Ovis aries: one gene and its partners. The protein of the gene in region 1 purifies or fractionates together with the protein of each later gene. This does not show direct contact. Links are inferred from orthologs where the notes say so. Each region holds a gene or a part of one and is shown in the gene's direction. Other genes may lie near its edges. The genes, in order: DDX17, DHX9, HDAC2 and DROSHA.

Evidence for each region.
Region 2: the proteins of DDX17 (region 1) and DHX9 fractionate together in Homo sapiens (co-fractionation; 3 studies listed by BioGRID and IntAct, with this or other methods). This does not show direct contact. The link is inferred for Ovis aries from reciprocal best matches to the Homo sapiens genes DDX17 and DHX9.
Region 3: the proteins of DDX17 (region 1) and HDAC2 purify together in Homo sapiens (affinity purification with western blotting; 3 studies listed by BioGRID, with this or other methods). This does not show direct contact. The link is inferred for Ovis aries from reciprocal best matches to the Homo sapiens genes DDX17 and HDAC2.
Region 4: the proteins of DDX17 (region 1) and DROSHA purify together in Homo sapiens (co-immunoprecipitation; 3 studies listed by IntAct, with this or other methods). This does not show direct contact. The link is inferred for Ovis aries from reciprocal best matches to the Homo sapiens genes DDX17 and DROSHA.

Annotation. Positions count from the first base shown.
Region 1 is NC_056056.1:215,999,985-216,005,859, reverse strand, and holds part of DDX17 (probable ATP-dependent RNA helicase DDX17), read left to right. Parts: intron 1-2,121; coding exon 2,122-2,272; intron 2,273-2,716; coding exon 2,717-2,816; intron 2,817-3,397; coding exon 3,398-3,531; intron 3,532-3,836; coding exon 3,837-3,902; intron 3,903-5,121; coding exon 5,122-5,263; intron 5,264-5,804; coding exon 5,805-5,875. UniProt on the Homo sapiens protein: As an RNA helicase, unwinds RNA and alters RNA structures through ATP binding and hydrolysis.
Region 2 is NC_056065.1:63,381,703-63,387,577, forward strand, and holds part of DHX9 (ATP-dependent RNA helicase A), read left to right. Parts: coding exon 1-13; intron 14-597; coding exon 598-759; intron 760-868; coding exon 869-996; intron 997-2,439; coding exon 2,440-2,669; intron 2,670-2,823; coding exon 2,824-2,939; intron 2,940-3,806; coding exon 3,807-4,007; intron 4,008-5,875. UniProt on the Homo sapiens protein: Multifunctional ATP-dependent nucleic acid helicase that unwinds DNA and RNA in a 3' to 5' direction and that plays important roles in many processes, such as DNA replication, transcriptional activation, post-transcriptional RNA regulation, mRNA translation and RNA-mediated gene silencing.
Region 3 is NC_056061.1:23,760,257-23,766,131, forward strand, and holds part of HDAC2 (histone deacetylase 2), read left to right. Parts: intron 1-1,628; coding exon 1,629-1,769; intron 1,770-1,996; coding exon 1,997-2,105; intron 2,106-2,772; coding exon 2,773-2,903; intron 2,904-3,619; coding exon 3,620-3,775; intron 3,776-5,875. UniProt on the Homo sapiens protein: Histone deacetylase that catalyzes the deacetylation of lysine residues on the N-terminal part of the core histones (H2A, H2B, H3 and H4).
Region 4 is NC_056069.1:42,148,332-42,154,206, forward strand, and holds part of DROSHA (ribonuclease 3), read left to right. Parts: intron 1-1,149; coding exon 1,150-1,260; intron 1,261-1,491; coding exon 1,492-1,723; intron 1,724-4,864; coding exon 4,865-5,006; intron 5,007-5,875. UniProt on the Homo sapiens protein: Ribonuclease III double-stranded (ds) RNA-specific endoribonuclease that is involved in the initial step of microRNA (miRNA) biogenesis.

The DNA of each region.
Region 1 (5,875 bases):
CCATGGATGTTTTATATTTACCATATATATGCTTTAATAAGAAAAGGTTTATTATCTGAAAGGCAGAAAAAGTGAATTGCTGATCCATACTTAGTTTATCCCATATTGACTCTTAAGTATCAGATATTAAGAAAAGACTTAAATAATGTTTCAAACAAAATGGCACTTTCGTAAAGTCTGTGCCCTAACTCCACCTTTACTATGAGATTTCTTTTGTTATTTGAATTGCTATTCTTTTGTTCTTAAATGTACAGAGCTGAAGTGGATTATTTTGAAAGGGGACTGAGTGAGGTAGTGTATATACATGTACAGTCCAAATGCATTGTACATGATTCTGCATGTTAATGTGTAAATCTTTGAAAACTGGCATTTATTGCAAATCAAAATTAATACTCAAAAACATTAAGGAGCAGCATAGTATGCAAGGGGTTAGGATATATGGATATTTAAATGATTATACAAATGCACTCAGGTTCTACAAGAGGAAAGGCTCTATTGGATATTGTAGTCAACCTTATAAAGGTGGTAGAAAGTGTATTTTTTTAAGAATCCCATGTTTCAAATTACAATATATCTTTAGAGAAGGATGATATGTCTTGGTTAAATAGCCAAGGCAATAGGGGAAAAGGAAAAACTTTGAAAAATAAGGGCTATCTTGATTAAGTCTTGGACATTTTTTTCAAAAGTTCTGTTTTCTTCTAGGTTGTTAATTTTAAGTTCTGAGTAATATTGGAGTGCAGCAGCAGCATTGAAATGGCATTTTTTAGGAACCACGTATGTTGTTGTTCAGTCACTAAATTGTGTCCAACTCTTTGCAACCTTGTGGGCTGCAGCACACCAGGCTTCCCTGTCCTCACTATCTCCCAGAGTTTGCTCAAATTCGTGTCCTTTGAATCAGTGGTGCTATCCGACCATCTCATCCTCTCTCTCCCCTGTCTGCTGCCTTGGATCTTTCCCAGCATTAGGGTCTTCTCTGAAGAACCACATAATTAGGCAGCCAACCTCTGAAAGTTAGTCTTTGGTCATTTTTCTTTGCAAGACTGACAGTTTAAAGACTTGGCTTTTTTATTTGTAGAGAACCTTATTTATTGATAGAACTGTGTTAGTTACTTCACCTAAGAGGGAGGGAGGAGGGGTCAGTCTCCTATTTGGTCTTAAGCCTAAGGACGTATTGAAGGTGTTGATTGGTATTGATCAACAGTAATATAAATAGAATCTGCCAAGTTCTGTCTTTTTGAATGTAAATACGTAATGGTCCCAAATTTCCTGCCATCAGTTTTTGTATATTTGTATTTAGAGAAATATCTAGCTGGCTCTTTAAGCCGAGAAATTTTAAGAGCATTTTGAGTTCCAGGAAATTGATGTGCTTTAGAATGGTTAGTACATCTGCTGCCTGTTGAGTAGTAAACTAGTGGAACCACTTGTAAGATGATGTTATGAATGAATTAGAGTAGAAAAGGAGAATTAAATTTGGTGTAGTGGTTAAGGAAATGGGATGAAAACATTGTGTATTTGTACACCAAAACAATGTCCTGCATTTTTAATAGGTTGAAATACAGAAATGAAGACCATCTTAGGATTCTTCTTAGGAAACAGAACATTTCAAGTTTGGCTAATGGCCATATTTGTACTCCAGTTGAATTTGTTTGTTGTGAAAGCAAGATAAAGCGAAAAGAATGATTTTTAAATTGTTTTAAAGACCTTAGATAACTTTTTCTACCTGTCCATAGTTTTGCCCTAATTTAAACTTAATGTCCTCACTTAGCTTCATTTCAGAATATTACATAAGAGTAGCAATTTCTGTTCACGTTAGTATTTCTGCTGCTGCGTCGCTTCAATCGTGTCCAACTCTGTACAACCCCATGGATGGCAGCCCACCAGGCTCCCGCGTATTTCTAGCACCACTTTATAGTTGATACCCAGTAACTATTTGTTGAATGAATACAATTATGTCAATTTGTACTGTTTACTATGGCAGATACTATTTTAAGTACTTTACACAAATATTTTTTGGAGGGGGCTGGTAGTATCTTAAGAGTTGTATCTTTTTGCATGTTTTTATGGCACCTGAAATATTTTGCTTTAAAAATACTAATAAACTGAAAATTTTGATGTTTCTAGATTTGGAGCAAGAGGTGGTGGTGGCCTTCCCCCAAAGAAATTTGGTAATCCTGGGGAGCGTCTACGTAAAAAGAAGTGGGATTTGAGTGAGCTCCCCAAGTTTGAGAAGAATTTTTATGTCGAACATCCAGAAGTGGCAAGACTGACTCCAGTAAGTTTTAGGGGCGGTATTTATTTACCTTTTCTTGACGTACAGTAATGAACCAAGTAGATAAATTAGCCAAAGTTTACTCATACATATATATATATATATATACACAAAGTTTACTCTTGTATTTTTTATTCTGGTGTGGTGGGGATTTTTCTTTGGTTCTTGTTAGGAAAGCTGATACTTGTAAGAGAAAGCACTTGATTCTCATACGTTGGTTATATTTCATTTAACTGTTCTCATGTGGAAAATGAAACCTACTGCATGCTTCGTTGACTTAGAAAGTTGGGTGAAGTTGAACATACATGAAAAACACTGTAAGAAGTGTTAAACATATTTTCCATTGTAATTGTGAATTTGATCCTTGTTATGCTATATTGGAACATAAAGTTTTGCACGTTTAGAATAAATTGGTTACTGATTTGTCTTACTTTGTTTCTTAAATAGTATGAGGTTGATGAATTACGCCGAAAGAAAGAGATTACAGTGAGAGGGGGAGATGTTTGTCCTAAACCTGTGTTTGCCTTCCATCATGCTAACTTCCCACGTAAGTGCTTTTCAGTCCAGTATATTAATTGTTAATTTAGCTTGAATGGTCACTGTGCTCATAAGTTATTTAAAGGTTTTGACCCAGCTCAGGATTTTGTTGAAAAGACAAACAGAAACCTTTCACAAAAGTTCTTCAAGTATTTTGGCAGGGGGAGTTGTCTTTTTAATGCTCATGTGTTCTCAGTTTAGAACTTCTTTGGGTCTTTTGCAGGGTTTTTTGTTTGATTGGTTGGTTGGTTTTCATCTTTCCTTGGGGTTTTGCCTCTACATTTCAGAAAAATAGCAAAATAAAATTGCTTTCTACCTGGATAAAATTTGGATTAGATAAGCAGTAGGTGGCTATTAGGTGCCCATGCCTTGTACCTTAGATACTTTAGACCAATGGTTTTCAAGTTTTCGAGAATAAGGGTAGATGGCTATGGCAGTAGCCTTCTTGAGAAGTAGTCAGCAGGTCAAATAACTGAATTTCAGTAACTGAAGACAAAACTACTGCTTCTCTTGGAGAGATGTATAATTTGTTTTGGCTGTAGGTTCGCTTCTTAGTTTTACCTAAAAGCAATAATATCTGTTCTTGTACAGAATACGTAATGGATGTGTTGATGGATCAGCACTTTACAGAACCAACTCCAATTCAGTGCCAGGGATTTCCCTTGGCTCTTAGTGGCCGAGATATGGTGGGCATTGCTCAGACTGGCTCTGGGAAGACGTTGGCGGTATGTACCCACAAGGGAAGACTTTTCATATTGTGGTAACTTATTTTGCTGTTGTATATTAACATATATTCTCAGTGCATAAAATTCTAATTCAAATAGTGGAAGTAATATTTCAGCTTTTTAGCTATCTGAAATATGTGGAAGCATTTTATGTTCATATTTGCGTTGCATATATATGTAAGAGATGTGAATTCTGTTTTCCCTTTCCTGGTTTTACTTAGACATTATCAATTACTGTGATAACTTAGAACAGTTAATATAATGGCTTAGTTTTGGTATAAGACTGTCCTTCTTTTCTCCTCCAGTATTTGCTACCTGCAATTGTTCATATTAACCACCAGCCTTATTTGGAAAGAGGAGATGGCCCAATTGTAAGTGTATTTCAGTTTGTGTATACTTCGAAAAATAACTACAGTTTATTATTATGTTTCAGGCACTGTACTTTACATGTGTTCTCAGATTTCATTCGCAACCCCACCTTCCATATCTGGAGGAAATACTGTCTTACTGGTAAATCTTAGGCACAGTGACTTGCCCAGGGTCAGACAGTAATTAAATTGCTGAGCTGGAATTTGAATCAGTCTTCCTTTTAACTACTGTGCCTGTTACCTTCATATGTAGGCATTTAATACAGATGCATTGCTTAATTGCCCATTGATACTATGAGGGATACAAAGGTGTAAAATGAGATTCTTGCTCTGTGGATATAAGTCAGGTTTGGGATGTTTATTTTTTGTGTTTAAGTAATGCTTTTGTAAATGTTCATAGACGAGCACCATTTTCTGGTTTGATCATTTTCAGTTAATGCTATTTACTGTAAGATTTCAGTAGTGGTCTTCAAACATTTTGAATGTACTTTCTTAACATTTTTTTAATAGAGCTTGCACTCACTATATGTTTATAAATATGTACATTATACAGTATGTCTTAATGCTTCACAACAAGAAGTAGTGCATTTATTTTTTTTAATGTATTTCATATGGCTAACGGAGTTAGCAATATTATCATTAACTAATGTCTAATGGATTGATATACCAAGTGAGTTATTGTTACCAGCATATATGATTCCTGTTTCAAAGTGTCTAAATTTTATTTGACCAACTTCTTGTCACATTGTGTATAAATGTGTTTTTGCCAGATTTGCCTGGCCAAGAGCTTGAGCTAGATGTCAGAAAAATGTCAGCTCTGCTCTTTTCTTGTTCTGATAATTAAGTAAAGTTTGAGACTTACCTGGTTTTGTTACAGGAATATTGTAGCTACTTACTCATTTTGTGAGTTGTTTAGTTAAAACTAGGTAATACAGTCTATAAATCTTATGTAGCACACGTTAATGAATCGTATCCAAAGTCAGCCATCATACTACATGGCAAATATTAGTTCTCAAATTGGATTGACCAAAAGATTCATTCAGGTTTTTCTGTAAGATGTTAGGGATATAATTTTTAGCCACATTACAGTGCAATATCTTACACCTATTGCCTTCCCAGTCCCCTACCCCAGATTAGACAATAGAGAATTAAGTAACCTTTTTGTACTTTTTTTGTTCCCCTTAAACTTGGGGTGGTGTCTCAAATGATTTGTTTGCTTTAGTGTCTAGTTCTGGCTCCTACCAGAGAGCTTGCCCAGCAAGTACAGCAAGTGGCCGATGACTATGGCAAATGTTCCAGATTGAAGAGCACTTGCATCTATGGAGGTGCTCCTAAAGGTCCCCAGATTCGAGATTTGGAGAGAGGTAAGAAAAAAAGAGCATTTAAGAATTTTTAGTTTTATTTTACCAGGTTTTGTAAATGAAATAGAACAGGAAAATAGTGGACTCTGGTGGGGTCGGGGGGATCAGTATTTTAGTAGCTTAGAAATTCTCGAATACGGTTAAAATGCTATTTTAGGGAAGTCCAGTGTGGTTGGAGACTTAACGGGGTTTTTATACATAAATTCTTGTTGCTAAGTCACTTCAGTCGTGCAACCCCATAGACGGTAGCCCACCAGGCTCCCCCGTCCCTGGGATTCTCCAGGCAAGAACACTGGAGTGAGTTGCCATTTCTTTCTCCAATGCGTGAAAGGGAAAGGTGAAAGTGAAGTCGCTCAGTCATGTCCAACTTAGCGACCCCATGGACTGCAGCCTACCAGGCTCGTCCATTCGTGGGATTTTCCAGGCAAGAGTACTTGAGTGGGGTGCCATTGCCTTTACGTCATGTTTTTTCCAGGTACTTGCTGAAGCTTGAACAGCATTTAAAGAATTCTTAGTTGAATAGATCTTTGGTTTTGTTTTACAGGTGTTGAGATCTGTATAGCTACTCCTGGACGCCTGATAGATTTCCTGGAGTCAGGAAAGACAAATCTTCGC
Region 2 (5,875 bases), on another chromosome or scaffold:
GATGTATTTTCTAGTAAGTGCTTTATTTTATTGCTTACAGCTAAATGGTAAAACAGTTTCAGAATTTCATCCCCCTCCCAGTAGAAACAGGATGGGCCCACATAGAATAAAAAGCTTAAATATTCCTCAGTAGAGAAGTGGCATGCTTGAGATACTGAGCAAAGTGTGAAATGAGAAGAAACTGTTGTAGTAGATGGATACCTGGGCCTAACTTGTTGAGACGAAGAGCACAGATTTATCAAGAGAAGTGCATTTCCTTTAGGAGGTTAAGCAGCTATCCAAGAAAGAGAAAGGTTAGGAAAACAGGTATATTTTGTTCACAAATTTTGAAGATGAAGAGATTTAGTAAAATGAGGGAGAATGGGAAAGGAAAATATAATACTTGGTCAATTTATGGTAAATAAGCATCCATTAACATCAAAGCTCATTTTGTTTTTTTCTTTTTGCATCTGGAGAGCAGCTGTAAAATTATTTGTTAAACCAATTTCAGTACTAAAAAGGCCATATGATAGCTAATACCCTGACCCACAATTGACTGTACTGCCGAGTTGCTGGAACAAGAATGTGGTTTGGACCGAGTTTTCCCGTCTCTTTCAGTGTGGGAGACGCTATTTGCACCATCTCTGCGGCCACCTGCTTTCCAGAGCCTTTCATCAGTGAAGGGAAGCGACTGGGTTATATCCATCGAAATTTTGCTGGAAACCGATTTTCTGATCATGTGGCCCTTTTATCAGTATTCCAGGCTTGGGATGATGCTAGGTATGGGCTTGAAAGACAAAGATTTGTAAGATTTGAATGAACTGTCTAGTTTGTAGTCTGTGTCTAGTTCTTTAGGCTTTGAGCATAACTTCTTAACCTGTTTGTTTAGAATGGGTGGAGAAGAAGCCGAGATACGTTTTTGTGAGCACAAAAGACTCAATATGGCAACACTAAGAATGACCTGGGAAGCCAAAGTTCAGCTCAAAGAGATTCTCATTAATTCTGGATTTCCAGAAGGTAAGATTCTCATATCTAAAGTACCTTAATATTAAACATTCACATTGACAGTCCCAGTATATTTTAGCTTTAAACATAAGGCTTTTGTTTTTTTTGTATTCCTAGCTATTTCTTAGTTTTTTGAACTCTGGTGATAATCAGTTTTTCACATTAATTGAATTTTTTTTAAGGATGCAAAAGGTTATAATGTTCAAATTACAGTTTTGTACACAGATGATGAATAGATGTTTTGAGAGTTGTGCTGCTTTAGGAGGTTTTGTTTTTATTGGATTGTAGTTGATTTACAGTGTTGTGTTAGGCTCTGCTGTACAGCAAAATGAGTCAGTTACACATCACTGTCTTTTTTTAGGTGGAAGGGTGTGTTTTTATTTCTGATCCATTTACTTTGTAAAAAAACAGGCCTAGCTTTTTGCACTTCTAGAATGAGCAGTTTGTTGAATTTACTTCAGGTAGTGGTTTCTGAAGTGATGTGTTAATTTGCTGATCTGTTCATTCTTAGGTGTGAAGTAAACTCTATTGCATTAAATTTTAATTGGCTTTGAGTAAGTTTTAATGGATAGCTAATCATAGAGGACTTTGATATCTGATATAGGAATAGTAATCCAACTGTTCATTTCTTGTGTGAATTTGAACAATTGTACTTCTCCAGCTAGATTGAGACAGAGTTAATTTTCTGAAATATTGAGAGTTGGAACACATAACCAGAAATAGCTAGTTGAGAGAGAGAAGGACTACCTTCTGGGCCATATCTAAATAACTAAACATTTTTCTTCTGTTGTAAACTGACTAAATTTGTACTTTCAAAAATCAAAGGAAAATAGGACATTTTTGTATGATAGACTCTTTACAAAATTCCTGAGATGCAGATATGACCTCCATTTTACAGGTTAGGCAGCTGGCCAGAGGTTTAAATTACTTGTCCACATTCATTCAGTTCAGAAGTTTATAAGACTGGTATACAGGCTTTTTGGAACAAAGTTTATCCACACTCTTACCATCATATTTTCCATGTGATGGCCTGGGCACAAAGCATTTTTTGGGTGAAAACAGCAGCGTTTTTCTAGTGTGTTCCTCTTGGTCATCTTCTGTAGAAGGAACAGCTTTTTAAGAGCAGCAGGTGAAATACTGGTCATACCGGTCTAGCTCTAATCTGAGAGGAGATGGTTAATTGGGGCATTTGTTTTTAAGTACTTCAAGCTTAGTTGTGTCTACAAAAGAAAACAGATGTTTTAATTTTACTAAAATTGTGAAGACTCAGCAAAATTTCTCCTTGCATTAATCTGAGTGCGAGAATGCTAAGAACAGAGGCAGTGAGATGGGTTATTTGAAAAAGAGAATGAGGGAGGAGTTAATTCTTATAATTGTCATTTAATTTTGGTAAATTCAATGTTAGAATTAGCCAGATACTTGATTTTTTTTTTTTACTCTCCTTCCTCTTTACAGAGTGTTTACTGACACAAGTGTTTACTAACACTGGACCAGACAATAATCTGGATGTTGTTATCTCTCTCCTGGCCTTTGGTGTGTACCCCAATGTGTGTTACCATAAGGAAAAGAGAAAGATTCTCACCACTGAAGGGCGTAATGCACTTATCCACAAGTCATCTGTTAATTGTCCTTTTAGCAGCCAAGACATGAAGTACCCATCTCCCTTCTTTGTATTTGGTGAAAAGGTAAGAAAAGGGAGGTTTAGAAAACTTCTACATTTAAAATCCAGATTACTTTATTAATGTGTAGTGGGGACATGGGTTTTAGTTCATTATTATTATATGGTAGTTGATTGACAGTTGGAATGTCAACTTTTTCCTCTTGCCTCTTTATCTTCAGATTCGAACTCGGGCCATCTCTGCTAAAGGCATGACCTTAGTCACCCCCTTGCAGCTGCTGCTTTTTGCCTCCAAGAAAGTTATGTCTGATGGACAGCTTGTGGTTGTAGACGACTGGTATGGATTTTCAGATGTGAACTCACCTGAATTCTTAGAATTGAAATGTACTGGAATTCAGCTGCTAATCTATTTGTGAAATATGGCAGAATTCGATGGCATAAACAATGTGTTGTGTAACACTGTCTTTTCTTAGAGGAGTATATCCTAGGCTTACGATTTGTAGCTGATAGTGAAGTCTCAAATTGATTATACTTGTAGAGGCAGATGCAGTAAATCAGGGGTGCCCACCCTCTGGGGTCTAAGGCCTGATGACCTGAGGCGGAGCTGATGTGGTAGTAATAGAAATTCAGTGCACAGTAAATGTAATGCACTTGAATCATCCCAAACCATCCCCACCACCACCCCAGTCTGGAAGAAGTTTCTTCCACAAAAATCGATTCCTGGTGCCAAAAAGGTTGGGGGCTGCTGCATTACTCATTGGAGCCCCATCCACCACCGTGAATACCATACTGAGGAGTTAAAATCTAATTGGAATTTGGATGCCTCTTTTTTTATGTACACTCCATATTGCTTAGAGACAAGTGGTGTCTGTGTAGTAAGCACTTGGCAGAATTGGACAGAACTTAATGGTTAGTAGTCTCTCATTTCATTCTTTTATTGGAGGCTGAAGTGATCTGTATGGCTAAGCGTACTTCACTTGGTAGACTTCATGGTTCACAACTCCTGCCAGTAGCTAGCAGTGAAGTTTAAGAAGTTGGTTTAACTTATTGTTACTCTTCATACCTGTGTTTGCTAAATCTAGGGCCATTACATTTGGAAAAGAAGTTAAATTTATCCCATCACTTGCCATGGGTGAAATTGGGAGATAATAGTCTTTTTCTGTGTGTACCTCCTCTCATTTTTAATCATTTTTCCCTAATTTAGGATAAGATTGCAAATATCTCATGAAGCTGCTGCCTGTATCACTGCTCTTCGAGCAGCCATGGAGGCTCTGGTTGTTGAAGTAACCAAACAGCCTGGTATCATCAGCCAGTTGGATCCTGTTAATGAACGTATGCTGAACACAATCCGCCAGATCTCTCGGCCCTCAGCTGCTGGTATCAACCTTATGATTGGCACTACACGGTGGGTACCACAGTAACTTTCTTTGAACTAAGCAGAAGAGACAGTAATCTTACTCTACATTTAGTTTATGGAGGCCTTGTTATTTAAGTTAAAATTATATACACATTCTAAATGAAGTTTAGTTCTGGTTAACACATTCAGAGAAAGAGTGTTAATGATATGTTACACCAGTGCATGCTAAAGATAGAGACCTTGGAAGTACATATGGAGTCCAGGATAGGTCCCATGACAGGAAAAAAAGCGACAGGCCCAACTGCTTTGCCATCTCTACAGGAAAAATGATGAGGGCTTAAATTGCTGCTGCTTCGAATGAAAAGCGTCAGAGTTTAATCTTTAAAGTGTTCTAATTGCCTCATTTTTTTTCACCTTTAAAAATTTTCTTTGCCCACTGCCTTTTACTCTCAAAATTTTTGATACCTGTAGAAAAGGCAGAACAGTAGTACAGTGAACTCTGTTAACTTAGGTTTCAATGATTGTCAGCATTTTGTGACACTTGCTTTGATACATATATATATTACACACATACTTTTGTTGAATCATTTGTGATTCAGTTGCAGGTGTTATGACATTTTACATTAGTATGCTTCATGTATCTTTTAAGAACATAGCTATAAGTCACACACAAAAATGTGTTAAAATAATAGTATCTAATATACAGTCATTAAAATTTGTCATTCAAAAATATTTTTCAATCTCCCCATCAAAAATCACTTAACTGCATTTGGTTTTAAAGTGTTAACTTACTATACAGAAATGCTGTGTGCTTTATGGATTCTGGCATTCCATTTTGGTTATAACTGAGTTAACTTTTCCTTTGAATTAATCAAACATAGTACTTAGCTGTGGCACACTGTGCTAAGTGCTTTTCTGATATTCGCTTGCTTTAATACTTGATCCACCTGTGATGTAGGTAGATCATTATCCCTTTTAATATAAATGAATAAACTAAGCACAGGGAAGTTAAAACCCAAGATCTTCCAGCTAGTGAATGGTAGAGTTGAATTCTCAAGCAGACAGGATGGCTCCTGAAATGGTGCTCTCATGACTGTGGTCTGCCCACAAGGTCAGTTGTATAGAACAATTGAGAAAGAATCTTCAGAAAGAAAGATGGAAAATACGTGTCCCAGGCATGGTATAAATGCAGTACTCATAGATGTTTAGGAGATAAAACTTCTGTCAGGAAGGGGTGGTGATCAAGAAGGCTTCGCATACAAGCTGCTCTGTGAAGGACAAAACTAGTAAGGATGGGATAGAAATAAGAGGTTAGGTTGTGTGAATAAAATGGTGGTCTGAATTAGAGTCAGGGGAATTGAAATGAAAAGTAACTAGATTAGAAAGATTTGCAATAGAGTCAGTAAGTATTGGTTATGGGTTAAAATGGGGAGAGCAGTGTAGTGAGGGAATGAAGACAGATCCTACCATGTTTCTGGCTTGGACAGCAGCTGAATTGGTAATGCTAGTCTCTAAGAAGGAGAAGGCAATGGCACCCCACTCCAGTACTCTTGCCTGAAAAATGCCATGAACGGAGGAGCCTGGTAGGCTGTGGTCCATGAGGTCACTAAGAGTTGGACACATTGAGCGACTTCACTTTCACTTTTCATTTTCATGCATTGGAGAAGGAAATGGCAACCCACTCCAGTGGTCTTGCCTGGAGAATCCCGGGGACAGGGTGCCTGGTGGGAGGCCATCTGTGGGGTCCACACAGAGTCGGACACGACTGAAGCGACTTAGCAGCAGCAGTGTCTAAGAAAAGCTTCACAGGAGGAATGAGCAGATTGGGGTATGTTAAATTGACATTTTGGTGAGACATCTTGATTTTCTGCAGCTTTTCATTACCCTCCTTTCTTTGCCATATGAAGCTGATTTAG
Region 3 (5,875 bases), on another chromosome or scaffold:
AGAAAAGGCAGAGGAACCAGAGATCCAATTGCCAACATCTGCTGGATCATGGAAAAAGCAAGAGAGTTCCAGAAAAACATCTACTTCTGCTTTATTGACTATGCCAAAGCCTTTGACTGTGTGGATCACGATAAACTGTGGAAAATTCTGAAAGAGATGGGAATACCAGACCACCTAACCTGCCTCTTGAGAAATCTGTATGCAGGTCAGGAAGCAACAGTTAGAACTGGACATGGAACAACAGACTGGTTCCAAATAGGAAAAGGAGTACGTCAAGGCTGTATATTGTCACCTTGCTTATTTAACTTCTATGCAGAGTACATCATGAGAAACGCTGGACTGGAAGAAACAAGCTGACATCAAGATTGCCCAGAGAAATATCAATCACCTCAGATATGCAGATGACACCACCCTTATGGCAGAAAGTGAAGAGGAACTAAAAGCCTCTTGATGAAAGTGAAAGAGGAGAGTGAAAAAGTTGGCTTAAAGCTCAACATTCAGAAAACGAAGATCATGGCATCTGGTCCCATCACTTCATGGGAAATAGATGTGGAAACAGTGTCAGACTTTATTTTTTGGGGCTCCAAAATCACTGCAGTTGGTGACTGCAGCCATGAAATTAAAAGATGCTTACTCCTTGGAAGAAAAGTTATGAGCAACCTAGATAGTATATTCAAAAGCAGAGACATTACTTTGCCAACTAAGGTCCGTCTAGTCAAGGCTATGGTTTTTCCAGTGGTCATGTATGGATGTGAGAGTTGGACTGTGAAGAAGGCTGAGCGCCGAAGAATTGATGCTTTTGAACTGTGGTGTTGGAGAAGCCTCTTGAGAGTCAATTGGACTGCAAGGAGATCCAACCAGTCCATTCTGAAGGAGATCAACCCTGGGATTTCTTTGGAGGGAATGATGCTGAAGCTGAAACTCCAGTACTTTGGCGACCTCATGTGAAGAGTTGACTCATTGGAAAAGACTGATGCTGGGAGGGATTACGGGCAGGAGGAGAAGGGGACGACAGCGGATGAGATGGCTGGATAGCATCACGGATTCGATGAACGTGAGTCTGAGTGAACTCCGGGAGATGATGATGGACCGGGAGGCCTGGCGTGCTGCAGTTCATGGGGTCGCAAAGAGTCGGACATGACTGAGCAACTGAACTGAACTGAACTGAACCCTGTATAGTCTTACGTAATTTTTTTGTTCATGTCTATGGAGGAAAGTGGTGACAAAACATCATTTAGATTAGGTTGTACTTAATGTTTCATTGTAACCTCACTTTTTTTTTCCCCCAAGTAACCTTATAAGAGCATAGGATCTTCATATCACATTAATAAAAATGTGTTATATTTATATGTTAATCTTAATATAGTTGTAGATTTGACTTTTCCATCAAGGACGCTTGTTAACATAGCCAGTTATGTCTACTTAATGAGTTTTGTATATTGTGTAAAAGGTGTTCGATGAAAGTTTAGACTAGAAATTTTCTTAAAATTTTTACGTATTATTTGTTTTTTAAATATTAGAAAAGCTATTTTGGTTGAGTAAAATTTTGTTTGTTATCTTTTTAAATTTTTCTTTCCCAGCTGTTACAGTGTGTAAATATATTGTTACCCAAATCTTCTTTGTCTTAGGTCATGCTAAATGTGTAGAAGTTGTAAAAACTTTCAATTTACCATTACTGATGCTTGGGGGAGGTGGATACACAATCCGCAACGTTGCTCGGTGTTGGACATATGAGACTGCAGTTGCCCTTGATTGTGAGATTCCCAATGGTAAGTGTTCTTATATGATGTCTTATTGGATGAGCTGTCAGTTTGTAGAAAAAGATGGTTACGTCATTAGAGTTGATTCCAAAACTGTGTAAATAGGAGAGCAGTCACTAAACTCATTTCATATTCACTTTTAAATATTTTCTCTGGAAATATTTTACAGCTTGAGTCTGGATTTTGTGTATGGATTGAGCTTTTAATATGTAACTTTATTTCATTATTTTTAATAGAATTGCCATATAATGATTATTTTGAGTATTTTGGACCGGACTTCAAACTGCATATTAGTCCTTCAAACATGACAAACCAGAACACTCCAGAATATATGGAAAAGATAAAGTAAGGCATCATCAAATTGATTTGATTAACATTATTAATGTGACTTTTGAAGCTTTTAGAAGGTCATGTGCAGTAGGTCAGTTTAACTTTATACGTAAGGTATTTCCTTTTGTCAAAAGTATTTGAAACCTTAAGATTGTTGGTTTCTTTAATTTTATAAAATAATGGAAAATGTATAATAGATTCATAGCTCAAAAATACTTCCATTTTCTGTTAGTTAAAATGGACTTTTTTGTTGAAAAGGGCACTATAAGTTGTATATTTTCTTGCTTTACACAAAAGTGAAATTTATTTTCATTGAAACATTTGATAAACCTTTCTCTAAGAAATAGAGTCTGGAGAGACATTGTTAGTACACAGGTCTGGGTTTGTGCCCTCTTTTACCACACACTAACTCCATGAAGTTTGGCAGGTTAATTTGCCTTTGTGCTTATATTTCCTCATCCTTGAAATGGGGGATGAAATTTAGTATCTACCTTGTAAATTTTGAGAATTAAACAGGTTACTAATAGATAAAGTATCAGTACCCAGTAAATGTTACAATTTTAATTCTTAGGTTAAACTAGGTAAAAGATGCGATTTATTTTGCTTAATGTTTCCTCTTAACATTGGAAAGGAACTTGAAAGAAAATATTTTTTTCTAATAACTGTGCATGTTGTAATTTAGACAGCGTTTATTTGAAAATTTACGCATGTTGCCTCATGCACCTGGCGTCCAGATGCAAGCTATTCCAGAAGATGCAGTTCATGAAGATAGTGGAGATGAAGATGGAGAAGATCCAGACAAGAGAATTTCTAGTAAGATAGTCCTTTGATGTGTATTCTGTTACATTTTTCAGGTTTATTAAAAGCATACTACAGACTGAAGGTTTTGGTTGCCCAAGAACTACACCTGTTTTCATGAGCACACTATTATTACTGTCTTTATTTTCACAATTTTTTTAATCCTGTGTAGATTTAACTTTCTTTGTCTCAGAGCCTGATTTGAGTGTCAGCAATTTCAGTTTCTACAAATTAACCACTTAGGTGTAGAGTAAGTTGAATAACATTAAGCACCTTCTGTTTGATTCTACAATCTAATTCCACTTAATATGATTTGTAGGCTTTTAGCCTAATAGTATGCTATTATGGTATAGACATTCTAACATAATTGACATAAATGTTATTTCTTATTTTCTTTTCTTCCCCTCTCAGCTCTGAAATGTTACTTTTTATTTAAAGATATCACTCCTACTTCGTATCAGGAAAGCAATATTTTTTTCCTCCAAAGTTTTTTTTTTTTTTTTCCAATGAGAACCTCTAATATTCTTCATATTCCTTTGAATTATTTCTTCCTAGATTAAAGCTAAAGTTTCAGTGTTTAGCAAGCCACGCTTTGTTGTAATCTTAAAATCTGTTATCCTTACTTTTAAATATGACCGGCTAGTTCTTCTATAGAGCCGTACACTTAACAGTTGTAAAACCTGTTGTAAAGCCTTTGTCTAAATTTTATTAAAAATCTTTTAATGTGTCAGTTCGAGCATCAGACAAACGAATAGCTTGTGATGAAGAGTTCTCAGATTCTGAGGACGAAGGAGAAGGCGGCCGTAGAAATGTGACTGATCATAAGAAAGGAGCAAAAAAAGCTAGAATCGAAGAAGACAAGAAGGAAACGGAGGACAAAAAAACAGGTCAGATTTATTTTTTTATAGATGTTTTAATTGTAAGTTTTTGAAAGTGAGCAACCAGGCAGTTTTTATAAGATCCTGAAATACTTACATGAGTATCAGAAATAGGTGAGTGTGCTAAATAAATAGGTGACTTTTTTTCCCCCCACGTAAGTAAACTTTTAATTAAAGCTCTCTAAATGTTATTAGTCACATTTGCTTTTACAGTACAGGAAACTATCTCTTTTTGGCAACAGAGGCTTAAAATATTGAACATTGCACTGTGATCTAGACTGAGTAAGAGAGAACAAAGTGGTTATAGACCCACATGTAGCCCATGAGCAGAGCCAAAATTCTAAGCTAATTTGTAACTACCTGTAAGTTTATTTGATGAGAATAAAGCATAAAAGAAGACTCACATTATATAACCTTAGACCAGTTTCCCCATTTTGAAAAGGCTCAGAGAACAGACTTTGTTATTATTTGAAAGAAACATAAAAGCTGTGGAAAGATGGGAAGGGATTTATCTCCCTGCTAGATTGAGCTGCTCGTGGCTAGAGAATGCAGTATCTTAAATACCTGGATTCTTGTATTTGGTGCATTTCCTGCTGGATACCTGCTACCTATATGCAGGTAACAGTGAGGAGGTTTTAGTTGACCTATTAATTTTTACCCTGTAGCATGTGGAAAACAGATTCAGAGGTACTGGGCTAACACCCTTTTTCTATCCTATTGAAGTTATGTGAGTAAGCTGGCTCTCATATTCTTTTTTTGCTAGAGAGGGTTCGGAATCTGTAGCATGTCTGCACATCTAGTTCTGTTTTGTTTGTGGATTGACTCCACTATAGGCTACTGTTCTCTGTCTATCATTTTATAATTTTAACTTCACAATGTATTACAATGATGGCTCCAGTCTGCTCTTGTGTACTGATTGACATCCAGAAATTCTAGCTATGATTGAGGTAAGAAGGACTTAAACCTTTAGCTGTAGGATTTTTCTAGTATTTTTCTTTTCTCTGTCAATTTGAGTTTTCTGTATTTTTTGTTTGTTTGTTTGTCTTCTTTTCTGGCATTTATTCTTGCTTTTTAAACGTTTATCTTTGTATGCTTTTTCTTCCAAATGGGAAAGTGGGTGTACTAGAGTACTTATCTCACATTGCTGTTTTAGCTGAAAATGAGAGTGCCTTTTGATCTGGCTTTAATGGCCTGGTGGTGGATTAATCTCACAGTATTTAGTTCCTAAATACTTCTGTTGCTGATAATAATTGATACTTAAATTTCCTAGTTTAATAATGAAATTCTTATAGTGTCTTACATTTGTTAAAATCTTGCAACATACAGATGAAAGAAATACTACCATAGAAAACAATTTTAAAAGTCTATAGTTCAGAACCTAAAGTTAGGAATATTTCTTTGCTCTTCATCCCTCCCCAAACCCCACTTGGCACTTTTGTTTACATATCTAAAATTAAGCCAGAAGCCAAAACAAATGTCATAATAAACATATTGCTTTATGTTTGTATTATAATCAGTGCCTCACAACTTTGGTTCATTGGTTTATCTAAAGAAAAAATTTAGCACATTTTGGCTAATTTGTTTCAATGATCTTGAATGGATAGTGTTACTCTTACTATTTTGTTAATTTTTATTAAAATGGTAAAGTTCTGATTCTTATATAGTGAAGGTTCAGAAACTAATGGCTATGTATATATATGGCTGAGTCCCTTCACAGTTCACCTGAAACTCACAACATTGTTAATCAGCTATACCCCAGTACAAAATAAAAAGTTTAAAAAAGAAAAGAGGGTACTAGAAAAGAAGGTACTAGCCTAACCATTATTAAAAAAAAATAAAAGACTTGGTTATATAAGCAATAGAATTTAGCTTCTGGTTTGTCTCTGACCTCATCTCATTCTGTCCCCTTGTCATAAAACTCCAGCCAAATTGGTCTTGCAGTTTTTCCTTCCAACCTAATTCCTTTTTGCCTCAAAGTCCTTTTGAGCTTTCCCTCTGTTCAAGGTACTTCTTCCCTTTTCCCACTCAAAAGCGACTTGTTCTTCAGAATGCCTCTCAGAGGCCACTTGCCATAGCCTTTCCTTATCTGCCATGGTGTCATGCACGTGT
Region 4 (5,875 bases), on another chromosome or scaffold:
TTCTTAACTGTAGAGAAGCCTTTTAAAAAGTACACACTCTTTGTGTGTGAAATAATATGATAAGTCTGCAAAGAACACAAGTGTATTTACAGTAGCATTGTTTACAGTGGGGGAAGAAAGGTAGTATCCTAAATGACAATGCTCAGATTTGTCAGATTACGGTATATACATATAAAAGAATGATATGCATTATTAAAAATGGTTCAGATGTACATGTATTGAAGTAGAATGATGTTCCTGGTTTACCACTTTGTTGAGGAAAACAGGCTACGGAGTTCCTGTTTTTAGAAACTTGTATGTTTATATATCTATATCTTCTAACATATTTGTGAAATATAATTGTTATTTCTGAGTGGTGTTACAGGTGATTTTTGTTTTATTTTTCTTCAGTGAACATATATACATTTTACTTCACAGTAAATATTTTTTTCTAGTAACAAACCTCTTGATGTACACTGTAATATTTAGAAGTTGCATCAATAAGTAATATATATACTCCTAATCACTCACTGTTTTCCCCCTGTTGTATACACACCTATACTTAGATTTTCCCTGCTGTAAAATTAGAAATGAGTGATAGAGTTGATGGAGAAGCTTACTTGTGACTTTGACCCAGATGTAGACTTTCTTGGGTAAGAGTGACTTTGTTAGTAGAGCTGCCGAGCTGGCACCACATCACAGTCTGTCTCCTTGGCTGGATTCTCCAAGTCTGTACGGTTCCACTGAAATGTTCTGGGCTTAATTTAAAAATCTATCCTATGGGTTTTTCCCTCCAAGCACATCGATACGCTGAGCCTTTGCAAATTTCATGCTCCAGCGATTCAAGGAGATAGAATTGCTTTTTTCCTTTTTAATTGAGTTACTATTAGTAATTGTGGGGATCAGAATTAGGTGACTTGGTGGTTCATTAAGCAGTAATACCCAAGTAGGGGCTTCCAGAGAAATGGTGAGGGATGGTATAACTGGTTCACTCTAGGATTTTGGTCCTCAGGCTAAATTTATGGCTAAGTGGAGATCATGTTTTGTGAAGACTTTTTTTTTTTCTCTTGGCAAAGTGAGATGTGGAGAATTCAGAATTAGTGTGCTCAATGCTGAGATCGTCTATAGATGGAGATGTCCATATATTTCCCAGAGATCTTTCTATTCTAGGAGTTATGGTTGGCCAGTTGCTCCTGAACCTGCCGTATGCACACCAGAATCACCTGGGGAGATTAATAAAAATACAGAATCTTGGGCCCCACCCCTGGAGACTGTGAATCAGTAAGTAGATCTGGGGTAGGGCCTGGGAATTTGTATTTTTAAACAAATAACTTCAGGTGATTCTGATGTCAGCAGACCGGTGTCAGGGGGTCACTGGTTTTTCATGCAAATGAATATATTGGTTTGGCATGACATTTTCCTTTTAGGTGACAAATGAGCTAAACAGGTGAAATAGAAAAGTTTTACAAGAAAAGAACATTTTTAATAGCCTCCCTTTGCCCCCTTTTGAAGTCGCTCCCCAAGCAGGGAGAAGAAGAGAGCTCGCTGGGAGGAAGAAAAAGACAGGTGGAGTGACATCCAGGGCTCTGGCAAAGAGAAGAATTATACCTCCATCAAGGAAAAGGAGCCCGAGGAGGCGCTGCCTGACAAAAACGAGGAGGAGGAGGAAGAACTCCTTAAGCCCGTGTGGATTCGCTGCACCCACTCAGAAAATTACTACTCCAGTGACCCCATGGACCAGGTGGTAGGTCTGTGGTAGGAGAGAAGCTGTGGACTAGAGCTCCTCATGGAGGAGGCAGTGGCACCCCACTCCAGTGTTTTTGCCTGGAGAATCCCAGGGATGGCCGAGCCTGGTGGGCTGCCGTCTTTGGGGTCGCACAGAGTCGGACACGACTGAAGCGCCTTAGCAGCGGCAGCAGCAGAGCTCCTCAAGCTCGGCGCTGTTGGCGTCTTGGGCTGGATAGTTCCCTGTGGTGGGGCCTGCCCGGTGCATGGTTGGATGTCGAGCAGCATCTCTGGGTTCTGTGCACTGGATGCCAGTAGCACCCTCGTGACTGTGATAACCGAGGCTGTCTTCTGACGTTGCCCAGTGTCCCCTGGGGAGTGAGAGAACGCCCCTCCCCCTGGTTGAGAACCACTGCTGTAGACAAAAGCTGCTTTCCAAAAGGCAAGAGTGCCGTAGGTGTATGAAAGGATCTCTTCATTCTGATTTTTGACGCCACTGCTAGTCTTGATGCTGGTGGTCTTGTAAGCTCTCACTCATAGCTATGTTATGCCTTCTGTATCTGTATGTGTGTGTGTGTGTGTTTCCCTCAAAATGAGAAACAAGGGAAAATTGAGTTTGTCTCTTGCAAGTCTGCCCGTGACCAAAGGTACCCATAGCAGATTTCCCGTGCTGGTTGCTGGTTTTGTGGAGTCGCAGTGTCGTCACCTTGGATGGGTTCTCAGGAGAGTCAGCACATGTGCTGCTCACAATGGGGCTTCTGGGGCTCAGCAGCCGTGCCTTGTTGCCTTGGGGGCCCCATGACCTCTGTGTGCTCGCTTCTCCTCTTTCTTCCATCTCCATTTTATTTTCCATCACTCTCCCCCCGCCTTTTTTTTTTTTTTTTTTCCTCTCTCTCTCCCCTAACAGGCACTATGCCTCCATCCCCATTAAGTTAGGTGTATTTGCCATAGCAGGGACACACAGTCATGTTCACTGATGAAATCAATGAGTGAAGGAAGGGATACGTACAGATTTAGGACAGAAGAGCCTGGAGATTTTAGATTTAGTGGGTGGGGTAGATAAGAGAGCATTCTGTTGTTTGGAATTTTGTAAAAACAGCTTCAACTTGGACTGGGCCCTTACCTATGTTGAGCTTGAGAGGAGACTGTCGTCTCTGGCAAAAAGGTTTGAGAGGTCTCTCTTGTTGGCATGATATTTTACTTGATAAAGAAAAGCAGGGTCTTAAGTCATAGTTCAGGTGACATAGGCAAGGAGAAGCTCGTACCTGGAGCCGTGTTGGTGAAACTGCTCCACGTGTCTCAGATTACCTCCCTGAATTCTTAAAACATCCCTGGAAAGAAGGCATCTGTTACTTCAGAATGTTGTTGTAAATGAGAATACTTAACTGATCGTGGTTAAGCTTGCTGGGTTTGTTTTCCTTGACAAGCCATCTGGAGGGAGGTGGTGGCTGGTATGTATTTAGTGCCTTAGTGATGGCAGGGCCGTAGGTGGGTATTACTGTCTTCCGGAGGATCCACCACTGTTGTAGGTTGCCCACGGGAGCCCCAGGCATCGTGTCCGTACATACCTCTGCCCAGACACAGATGCAGAGGGCAGTACTGGGTGGAGCCCAGGGTGCCCGGGGATCTCTTCTTCCATCCTTTCACCCAGAATTGTGTTTAATGGATTAATTTTCCATCTCTGCCATAACCCATCTCCACAGACTTCATTCATGGCTTAAGATACCGCACATTTATTAGCTCACAGTTCTGTAGATCGGAAGTCAAACTTGGTTCTCACTGGCTAAATCGAGGTACTGGCAGGACTGCTCTCCTTTCTGGAGACAACCTGTTTTCTTGCTCATTCAGGTTGTTGGCAGAGTTCAGTTCCTTACGGCTGTGGGATGGAGGCCCTTGTCTGCTTGCTGTCTGGCAGGCTGTTCCCAGCTTCTGGAGCCCGTCTGCATTCCTTGGCCCATGGACCCCTTCCTTCATCTTCAGAGCCAGCAGCGTGGGTCGAGTCCCTCTTATGCTTTAAAGATCTCTTGCCTCTTCTTCTGTCGCACCTCGGACTGCTGTTGTGAGAGCCTCTCCACTTTTAAAGACTCACATTCAGTTGGGTCTACCCAGATAATCCCACCTCAAATTCTGTAGCCTTAATCGCGTCTGCAGAGTTCTTTCTGCACTGAAAGGTGGCATGTTCACTTTCCAGGGATTAGGATAGAGACATCAGTGGCCAAGTTCCCTGCCCCAAACCTGAAGGGAATCCCAGTTCTGTGAGCATGGGGGAAGGGGAGAATGGCTCCCCAGGGGTATCATTATTATTGAAATACTGTTGAAGGCACTGAGGCTCAGAGCATTTAAAGGGCAGAGCGTTTGCTCTTCCTCACCTTTCTTGTGGGTGTGTTAAAACTCCAGTGTCTAAGGCAGGCTGATAAACCAGAAGGCCAACACTGGCTTCTGTTTGGGCACTGCTGGTGCAGAGAGGGCCTAAGTGTCAGAGCCACCCCGGCATCACCAGTATCAGTAATGAGGTGGGGCTAAGGAAAGCAGACACCCTCTTTTGGGAATAACTACAGATTTCATGATTGAATATTCATTTTATGTTGGAAAGGTGCCTTTTGAAAATGTCAAATGTACATTTCAGGTGGGTGTTTAAAGTGATTTTCAACCTGGGAGGAGAGTAAGGGAAAGTGAGGAACTTCCTCCAGGAATGTATTGCAGAACCCTGTGTTTGTAAAGAGTGTGTGTGTGTGTGTCCCTGTGTTTATGGGGTGCGTGTGTGGTTTGTGGGTCACTGGGTTAATGTGGAATACACACCATCAGTAAATTTCAGTAGGCGAGGGGTATATGTTCTCTAAGAGGGTATCAGGTGTCATGAATTCTGAGGGATTTATGATTTTTTGGTTGTTGTATCAAAAGGGCATAGATGAAGATTTCTAACGTTTCTAAGGGTTGGCAAAGTGCATTTACCTGAGGACTGTGTCAGCCATAAATGTGTGTGCAATTCAGAGCATCATTGCCAGCACTTTGGGCATTTTGTGTTTAAAATGTTTGTTAAATTGAGGGTTGAAAAATGATATCTTGCTGTTAAAATCTTTGGTTATCGGTGAGTTCTTAAGTCTCTCTGGTATGACTATTATTAATATAGTTCCTAATATTGATCCTTTATTTTTCAAAGGGAGATTCTACTGTAGTTGGAACAAGTAGGCTCCGTGACTTATATGACAAATTTGAGGAAGAGTTGGGGAGCAGGCAAGAGAAGGCCAAAGCTGCTAGACCGCCATGGGAGCCTCCCAAGACGAAGCTAGATGAAGATTTAGGTGAGTCAGAAGTTACTAGACTGAGATCCTGTGCTCTTTTTTTATTGTTTAATACCAGACTTTTGGAATGTGTCCTTGAGAGTCCCATAGTAAAATTTCCTAATGTCCATTTTATTTTCCTTAATTCCAGTCAGCAAATACATAGCAATGTAACTTTCTTCTTTTCGATTTTCTTTTCCCTTAGTTATATTCAGTAGAATACATAAGAGATCTCTCATTTGCAAGGCATGCTGGCCACTGTGTCCCCATAGACTCCTGTCCTAAAATCAGAAGGGACCACAGTCCAGCCTCCTGTCAAAAGCAGGAGCCTGTTCCCATGCCTCGTGATCTAATGGGCAGGCATTTCCTGTGGCTCTCTCCACTGCCAGGGTGTGGAAACTCCAGCCAGAGTCCAGCTCTGTTTGAAGCTCTCTCTCTATTCACAAAGCTTCCATCACTTTCTTACATCTTTTCACATACGTATTCTGAGACTCCAAGGAGGTGCTGAGATCAGTGCTTCTCACCACGTTGTGTCCTTACCCCTAACACACGCTGTACGCAGAGGAGACGTTCGGTGTGCCTTTTCCTGCATGTTATCTGCCTCTCATCTGCCCACCTTTGTTATGTTTCCCTCGCTGAGAGGCAGTGTCCATGGTGGGGAAAAGCACAACAGAACCAGCTGGCCTGGGTTTGAATCCTTGTTCCACTTGAAATGTGATCTCGGGCAAGTGATGTGATTTCTCTGTGTCTCAATTTTCTTGCCTTAAAAGAGGAATGACAGGACCCATCTCACGTAGTACACTTGAAAATGCAACAGTGTAAGGGCTCCTTCTTACCACGCTGTACTGCATTAATCTCTCGTAGGATCACTCCAAGTTCTAGGTCTTTTT